2 linked regions of the Coturnix japonica genome follow. The protein of the gene in region 2 binds, or shares a complex with, the protein of the main gene of each other region. Links are inferred from orthologs where the notes say so. Each region holds a gene or a part of one and is shown on either strand. Other genes may lie near its edges.

Region 1 (3,516 bases), about 7.7 Mb from region 2:
TTAAAAAAGAAAAAGAAAAAAAGAGCTGGACATGTTGACATACCCTGAGCAAATGCAGAAGCCTGTTTCTATAAACAACGTAAAACAATAAGCTCTTTCAGAAAAGTTTTGCCAAGATTAAATACATCAATACCACAGGCACTGCCCACAACTCAGTCCTTAACAGATGAAGCAAGTTAAAAATAAAACCAAACCAAACCCCAAACCCACCCAACCGCAGCTGCCCCCGCCCCTTCCAAAAGGTTTACATTCTCCAGGTATGTGGGTTTATTTTTCTTTTCTCGGGAACTCATCGATGTAAGTGATGTATTTGGCTACAACACTTGGAGAGTACAAGCAAGTTTTGTTTGCGCCTGGCTTTTCTGAGACACAAAAGAAAAAGAACTGGCTTTTTAAAAAAGGCTAAGAACAACAATGTGTTGTAATTCTATTATTTAGTTAAAAAAAAAAAAACAACCAAAAAACAAAAACAAAAACAGACTATTTGGCATTTTCTCTGTTTACTCCTGAATATTTTAAGGCCCTGAGATCAGAATATCACGTTCTTGGGACCACAGGGCTAAGTAAAACCCTAGTGCATCAATTCTCTCTTTAAGCCCAAAGTTCTGGCCTTTCAACCTAAGAGCCTCTGCGGAGATGAGGCTCACGTGCCTCAAGGAGCTTTCTTGTACAGAAGCTTATTACAAACCGATCAAATTGTTGGTGTTTTTTGCGGGGTCAGTGGTGCTGGCATGTCCATCAGTGAAAACATACCCTGTAACACAGATAAGCTCCTGCTGTGAGGAAGGTGAACATGCATATATTCACTAGAAACGGCTTCCAAGTTGTCATCATGTTCTCATCATCCTCTTCTATGCTTTCTGACTTCATCGACTCTTCTCTGTGTGCTGAGACGTGCAGGTTTTCACCAACAGTTCTCCTCCGAATTTCAGTGTCTTGACTAGTGCTTAAGGACAAATAAATAAACGTTCAGTGCTGGATTTTCCCTTTAAAGAATGAGCTGACCCAACCTTAACCACCTCTTACTTCCACTGCTCATCCTAAATCTGCTGTCTCTGCAGCCACTGAGACAAGAAAGGGCCAACCTGCATCCAGCTGAGGAGAACAAGGTTCTGAAATCAGCTGCTCAAAGAGTCAGAAAGTGCTGAAATTATGGTTGGTTTGTACTATTGTAAGAGTGGCCAGGAGCACTGTGATGGCTTTTAATGATGGAACTGAAGGTTTCTCCATCTTTAATACGATTTAATGCGTTTTTTCTAGATAAAGACCTCCATCATGTTGATAGTATACTGAAATATAGAGAGGCTTATTAACTTTAACTTTCAGATCTGCTGCATTGCTACTTCCATCTGAATTTAGAAATGAGTTAACCAGCTCTACACCACTCGGATGGAGCAGGAGGGCCATCTAGTGGCCAACAGGTCACAGTCATACAGCACTTCTGTGTGTTTGTCACACCTGACAATTGAGGTTGCAATGACAGGTAGAAAAGTTCTCTGTTCGTGAGCCCCTTCTACTCCTTTCATCAAAACCAGCTTTGCTTAGGATTAATTTCACATTTCTAAGTGCAGCTAAAGCTGATCCGCCCAGCTCTCAGCTCCACCTCCAGTGAAAGAGCTCCTGTGTAACTGAATGTAACGTACACATCACATGTAAACTGAGACTAAGCCACCTTGCTCTGCTGCCACTTCTCTCACTACAGCAGGATCTCGATTTAAAAAAAATGCTGAAGAACTTTTCCATAAAATATGCACAGACTTTGTTTTGGAACTGCTGTTATACTAATTCAGTCAGCGTCTGTTCAGGATTTTCCATATGAAATGCCATTTATGAACAAGCTGAAGTGGGAAACTAAATTAATTACCTGTCTGTGATCAGTGGCACAGATGAAAAACCTCTGCCATCTGGAACCATCTCTTCAACAGTGCTGACTGAGGATCTAATCTCTTCCTCTACCACTTGATGCTTAGGAAAGAATTCTGCATGTTCGTGCATCCTTCCATTGTGCATTTCTGAGGTTCTCTTTGGTGGTCGGGGAGGAGGTGGGGTATGTTCAGGTGGTGGGTCCAGATCTTCATTGGAGAGCTCTTTCCACTGTTCCTTCAGGGAAGGAAATGCCCTGTTACGTTTTCCACTGTTTATTTTATGTAAACTACTGTAACTTTAAGTTGGCAGGGGTGTTACACTCTACCTTCTCATTTATTTTTAGCATGCCTGTTCATTTGCATTGAAAAAAAGGGGAAAAAAGAGACACAAAAATAATACAAAATCTAAGCTATCTGCAGTACACTGAAGACATCAGCTATAAAAGGAAGAAATTTTAATCTACATCTGGAAATTTTAAATAGCATGAAATAGAACCTATGTTGCTAGTTCTGCTGTAAGAATTAATTGCAGTACTTAAATTTCTGCCTTCTTAGAAAGCTGATGAAAGACATGGCAGATGCAGCCAATCTACGCCCCAGTTACGGTGCTGAAAAGTACACAGGCACCACCTATTAGTCTACAGGACTACAGGAAGTATTCTGAGGTGTTGTATTTTAGTACTGCATAATATAAAAATGTATTGAAGCCAAAGGAATTTAAAGCTCGTTTTGTTCTTATGCTACAGTTAAAAAACGCGTTGCAGCTTACTATACATCTGGTTCCACAGTCCATAATACTCACTTGCACTGAAGCATCCCCCATAATGAATTTTGCCCCCTCAATTACAGCTAAGTAGGAGAAACGAAGCTGATCCGCTGTCTGTATAAGTCCCATTCTGTACTTCCTCATTTCTAGGAGAACCTGTTTAACATCCACAGAAGAAGGATCTTTCCGTTTGTCCATCTGAAGATAAAAAATTTGGAACACACTTTATGCTCTGATGAGATTCAATACGATGACTGGCTTCACAGAACAGCTTTCAGACCATTCTACCTATTGCAGAATTAATACACTAAGAAAAAACACAGAAATGGAAGATTGCACTACCTTAGTTTTAAAATGAAAGACTGTCTTAAACTAGAATATGAGTAAGATAAGAGAAATAACGTGCAAAAATACTCCACAGAAAACACCACAGCTCTTCATAGGCCAGAAGAAACCACTGTTCAAGGGAACTCTACTGAAACAGCGTATCATCTCCACAGCAGATCTTACCAGCAGAAGACACGTATCGACCAGACAGAAAGTTCCTGATCTGCCAATTCCTGCGCTGCAGTGCACCACAACAGGTCCATACTCGGGGTTAAGTGAGCCAGATTCTCTCACTTTGAACAGGAAATTGAGGAATGAAGCAGGAGACTCTGGGACTCCAAAGTCAGGCCACGTAGTATAATGAAAGTGCAGAATCTCTCTGGTTTCTTGCATCTGTAAAAGACAGTGCTTATGAAGTCTTTCAGCTGGATACACAGTTTTGCAACTATTCGAATTACAGCTGCTTACAACAATGTTCAAATGAGCAAATACAATCCCTCACACATTCATTTTCCTAGCAAACACTTTCCTACATACTCTCCTACAGTTCTCAGAATG
Region 2 (4,180 bases):
TGAGGGGTGAGACTGTGTTATCTCCGGGTGCTGCAGTTCCCCATTTTCCTCTCCAAACCCTTCACCAACGCAGACCTCAAGACAGGACCCCTCACGTTACACTGTGGGTATTCCAGCTCCTCCACACCTCTGCACAGCACAGCCATCCTGGGGCTGGGAGCAGCCCCCCATAAGGTCTGAAGCAAAGCCACCAGCCAGACCCCAGCTTCCCCAGAGCTTCTCCTCCCTGTATCCCCACTATTGCTTTCATCCCCTCCACATCTCCAGCACTGCTTTGCCCCCCCCGGCAGCTCCCAGTGCATCCCAAGCATTCCCAGCTCTGTGCCCAGGAGGGCAGTGAGGAGATCCGTAGCCTGGAGGGAAGTCAGAGCAAGACGCAGATTTACAGGTCCTGGTTCCTGGCCCACGTTCAAACCACATGAAATCTGTTTCAAGGCTTTCTTTTCAGCCTGTGCATGTGCAGAGGCATGTGCAAAGCAGTGCCACTTCCCTCACACCAAGGTCACAGCACCAGAGCAGGGCTGCACTGAGCATATGGCCCACACCAACCAGCTCCTTTTTCCCCTGGCCAAGCAGACTGCAGAGCAGACTATCACACAGCATCACACTCCAGGGAGCTGACCCACACTGCTCACCCTGCATCCACACTTCCGAGAGGGCTTTGAGCTCAGAAGCTCTGAGGAAGTGAGGTCAGCTGGGAAATGGTTCCCAGAGATAAAGGGCCAAGTTAGAAACCGTGCTGCAGGACGGATGGTACAGGAAGCAATAGTGCTGCAGATAGCCCTTGGTGCTTCCCCTGCCATGCCTGGGGTGGTGCGGGGCAGCAGTGATGCACGGCTGTGCTTCCCCTTAGGCACGTGGACTGAGTGCTCCAGCCCAGGGCTTGCTGCAACCCCTTCTCCATCCAGACGTGGCACGTGCTCACTGGTCATTAAAACATGTCATTGTGAGCCAGCCCGGAGCCCATGTCCCCTCTGTGCCACCAGTTTGTTCCTTGTGTATGCAGCAGAGCCTTCACACATCAGACTCTGCAAATTACGGCCCCTTCCCTCGCTGTGCTGGGACAGACAGACCCACCTGGGTGATCTTGAGTCACTCCAGGACAATGTCATTCAAAAGCAGAGGTATCTGTAGGGCATCTCCATCACACAGGGAGCACTGCAAGGCCACTGACAATCTTAACAGCGAGCACTGCACATCCCTCTGCTGTGATGGCCCATAAGCAACCCCAGCTCCAAAATCACCGGGCTGTATTTTGGGGAAGCTCCTGAGCACGAGGTGCTCAGATAAGATCCAAAGCTAAGAAGATAAGGTCAAAGCTTGGGAATGGGTGCAGCCCACAGCCTGCTAAGGAGAGGTGCAGTGGGATCACAGACAGGCTCACAGTGGCACAGTGCTCCCCAGGGAGCCTCATCTCAGACACTGAGCAGCAGAGGTTTGTCCATGGGCCAACCATTGAGCCAGCACGAAGCAGCACAAACAAGCAGCAGCAGCAGGGGATCATCCTGCAGAAGAGTGCAGGGGAACAACAGCATCACACTGCTCCCAAGCACAAGGTCACCGGCATCCCACCACATGCCCCATCACATCCCTGGGGACAGGGGTGAGCACCAGCACGGAAGGAGGAAAAACACCAAACTGAGTCTTTTGTTGCCACATTCCCACAGCTCCGTTTACATCCGATGCTGTTGGATCAGTGCTGTCCCATTCCCAGCACTCAGGCACTGAGCACCCTACGGGCTCCAAACACCACTGAGTGGGGGAACATCACCCACGGGAGCTGCTCCCTGTACCCTCAGAGCTCCCGGGCAGCAGAGAGAAGGGACGGTCAAGAGGAAACCAAACTGCCGTGGGGCTGAGCCGGGGACCGAGCGCACTGCATGGGGTCACGGTCAGCAGGGGAAAGTCCACCCAGGCCCCGGCGTGGTTCAGACAAGTCCCACGGTGCTTCCTCGCGGCGGAGACACGCACAGCAGCCGGGCTGCTCCGGGAGAACCTGCCGGCCGGGTACAGCCCTTCCCCGGGCAGCGCGGGGCTCTGCAGCCTCCCCGGGCGAGGGCAGAGCGAACGCCCGGCGGAGCGCGGACACGAGCCCCGAATCACCGACGAGCGAATATCGAGAGGGAAACGGAGCAGGAGACATCAAAGCAGGGGGGCGATGAATATTTCATGCCCCGGCCTGCACACAGCCCGGCTCTCCCTGCTCTGCTCTCCCAGTGTTTCCCGCAGCCCCCGATCACAACAAAGGGGAGTGCGGGCAGGCGGGGCCGGACCCCGCAGCTCCCCCCTCCGCTCCCCCGGCGGGCCCGTCCCCATCCCCCGGCAGCCCCGCAGCCGGCCCCGGGACCCCGCGCACTCTCCGCCGGACCCACGGCCGCCCCACGCAACCCGGAGCCGCCCCGCCGTTACCGCGGGCATTACGGAGCCGCCCCGCTGCCACCCGGGCATCCTCCACCGCACGGCGAGCATCTCCCGCCGGCCCCGCAGCCGGACCCCGCGGGGACCATCCCCGCCGCCGGACCCCGCGCAGCCCCCGCTCACCTCCCGCGTGTGCGCCCCGCGAGGCCGGACCCCGCCGCTCCCCTCCAGGGCTCGGCCGCGGCTTTGTCTCCGTGCCGGGGGCGCGGCCGCCGCCCCCCGCAGCCGCCGCCGCCGCTCTGGGTGCCCGCACCGCGGGCCGGGCCGTGCCGGACGCTCAGGGCTGCGCCGCCGGCAGCATCGCGCAGCACCGCGGATCCGGAGCGCCGCTTCCCCGCCCCCGATCACCCCTTGTACGGGGTGTGTGTGTGTGTGTGTGTGTGTGTGTGTGTGTAAGGGGGGAACAGCCCACAGGGAGGGAAAAAAAACTAGGAATATGGCAGCAGTAAACCGGAAACGGCTTATAGGAAAAAAAAAAAAAAAAAGAAAAGAAAAATCGCCGAGCCCCTCCCCTCGGGTTTTTTTTTTTTTTCTTTTAAGGAAGAAGCCTCCGGGCTGCCGGGCTCGGCGGGGTGCGGAGCAGCGACCGGAGCCGCCCCCGCCCGCGGCTCTACCGACGCACCCCGTCCCGGAGCCGCCCGGTCGCGGCGGGGCCACGCGTGGGAGCGCGGCGCGGTTCTGAGCTCGGCTCCGAGCTGCCCGCCCGGGATCGGCGAGAGGAGAGCGGTGATTTGCACTGAGGTTACAACCCGGCTGCTTTGCGGTTCGCTTTTATTATAGCGACCGGGGCACGCAGCGAACAGCCGCTTTGTGATGGATTCTGCGCCCTCCTGCATCCTCGTCCCCATCCCCCTGATCTCGGGGAGGAGGCAAAACTTCAGCGCAGGGGAATAAACAGGGAAAGAAGAGCGTGCCGTGAGCCTCCCCGTGGAGCCACGAGCGTGGACGTCGTGCCCACCCCTCGTGCTGCCCCTCACAGCGACCAGAGCGGGGGCTTCTGGAAACTCCAGCGCTTCAGAATCAGTGCGGAGGGTGACTGAGTTTGTTTGCAGTGCGCACCCCTCCCCCGGCTCATTTGAGTTATTAAAAAAATATTTCCCGTGACACTGCCGAGGGCCAACAAACCCATGAGTCACCGGGAGTCATGCACACACCGAGCCGTCCCCACCGGCCAGCGCATCGCACGGGGGGGCCTTCCTGCCAGGAGCAGCCTGATCATCGCTCCCTGCATGAATTGGAGGCTGCGGCCCCAGACTGCAGCCTGGTGTCCGTGGAAAGTCCTTTCGGTGTTGTTAATTCTACAGGGCATAGCAGGGCATGGATGGATGCTGCACCCACAGCGGCTGCCCCAGCCCCACAGCCCCGCAGCCTCCTGCAGGCAGCACAGCCCCGGGCACCGGGCTCGGCCCCAGCCCCGAGGTGCTGCTGCACGGGCTGAGCCCAGACCCACATTGAAAATGGCCACCAGACACTCCTGGCATCCAGCCTCTCCTCTTTGGGGCTCTGGCTCAGCAACGTGCCCTCGCAGCACCCTGGCAGGGGCCCTCCCGGCTCACGGCTCAGCTCTGTGCCCGAGGCGCGTTCACCTGCAGCCCTCCAGCTGCCCTCTCCTCCTGCCCCACTCCCAGCCCTGCTCTTCTCACCATCCCACCCATGCTCTTTGTGAGGCATTCCACTCCCTTCCCTGAAACCTCTTTCTTCTTTCTCTTCACCTTTCAGTAGCACCAAAAACACACGGTGGGGGGGCAGGGCAGAGAGGGAT

Evidence for each region. Proteins that work in one complex are often made in the same cells at the same time.
Region 1: the proteins of SRC (region 2) and PTPN1 are in contact, whole or in part, in a crystal structure (PDB 3ZMQ), measured with the Homo sapiens proteins. The link is inferred for Coturnix japonica from reciprocal best matches to the Homo sapiens genes SRC and PTPN1. Residues at the interface, in NP_005408.1 of Homo sapiens: Glu527, Gln529, Tyr530, Gln531, Pro532; in NP_002818.1 of Homo sapiens: Arg45, Tyr46, Arg47, Asp48, Val49, Asp181, Phe182, Ser216, Ala217, Gly218, Ile219, Gly220, Arg221, Ser222, Gln262.

The regions. Positions count from the first base shown.
Region 1 is NC_029535.1:12,141,624-12,145,139, forward strand, and holds part of PTPN1 (tyrosine-protein phosphatase non-receptor type 1), read right to left. Parts: exon of another isoform or gene 3,352-3,516; coding exon 3,142-3,351; intron 2,830-3,141; coding exon 2,668-2,829; intron 2,101-2,667; coding exon 1,865-2,100; intron 947-1,864; coding exon 739-946; 3' UTR 1-738. UniProt on the Homo sapiens protein: Tyrosine-protein phosphatase which acts as a regulator of endoplasmic reticulum unfolded protein response. Mediates dephosphorylation of EIF2AK3/PERK; inactivating the protein kinase activity of EIF2AK3/PERK.
Region 2 is NC_029535.1:4,438,613-4,442,792, reverse strand, and holds the start of SRC (proto-oncogene tyrosine-protein kinase Src), read right to left. Parts: upstream 2,806-4,180; 5' UTR 2,542-2,805; intron 1-2,541. UniProt on the Homo sapiens protein: Non-receptor protein tyrosine kinase which is activated following engagement of many different classes of cellular receptors including immune response receptors, integrins and other adhesion receptors, receptor protein tyrosine kinases, G protein-coupled receptors as well as cytokine receptors.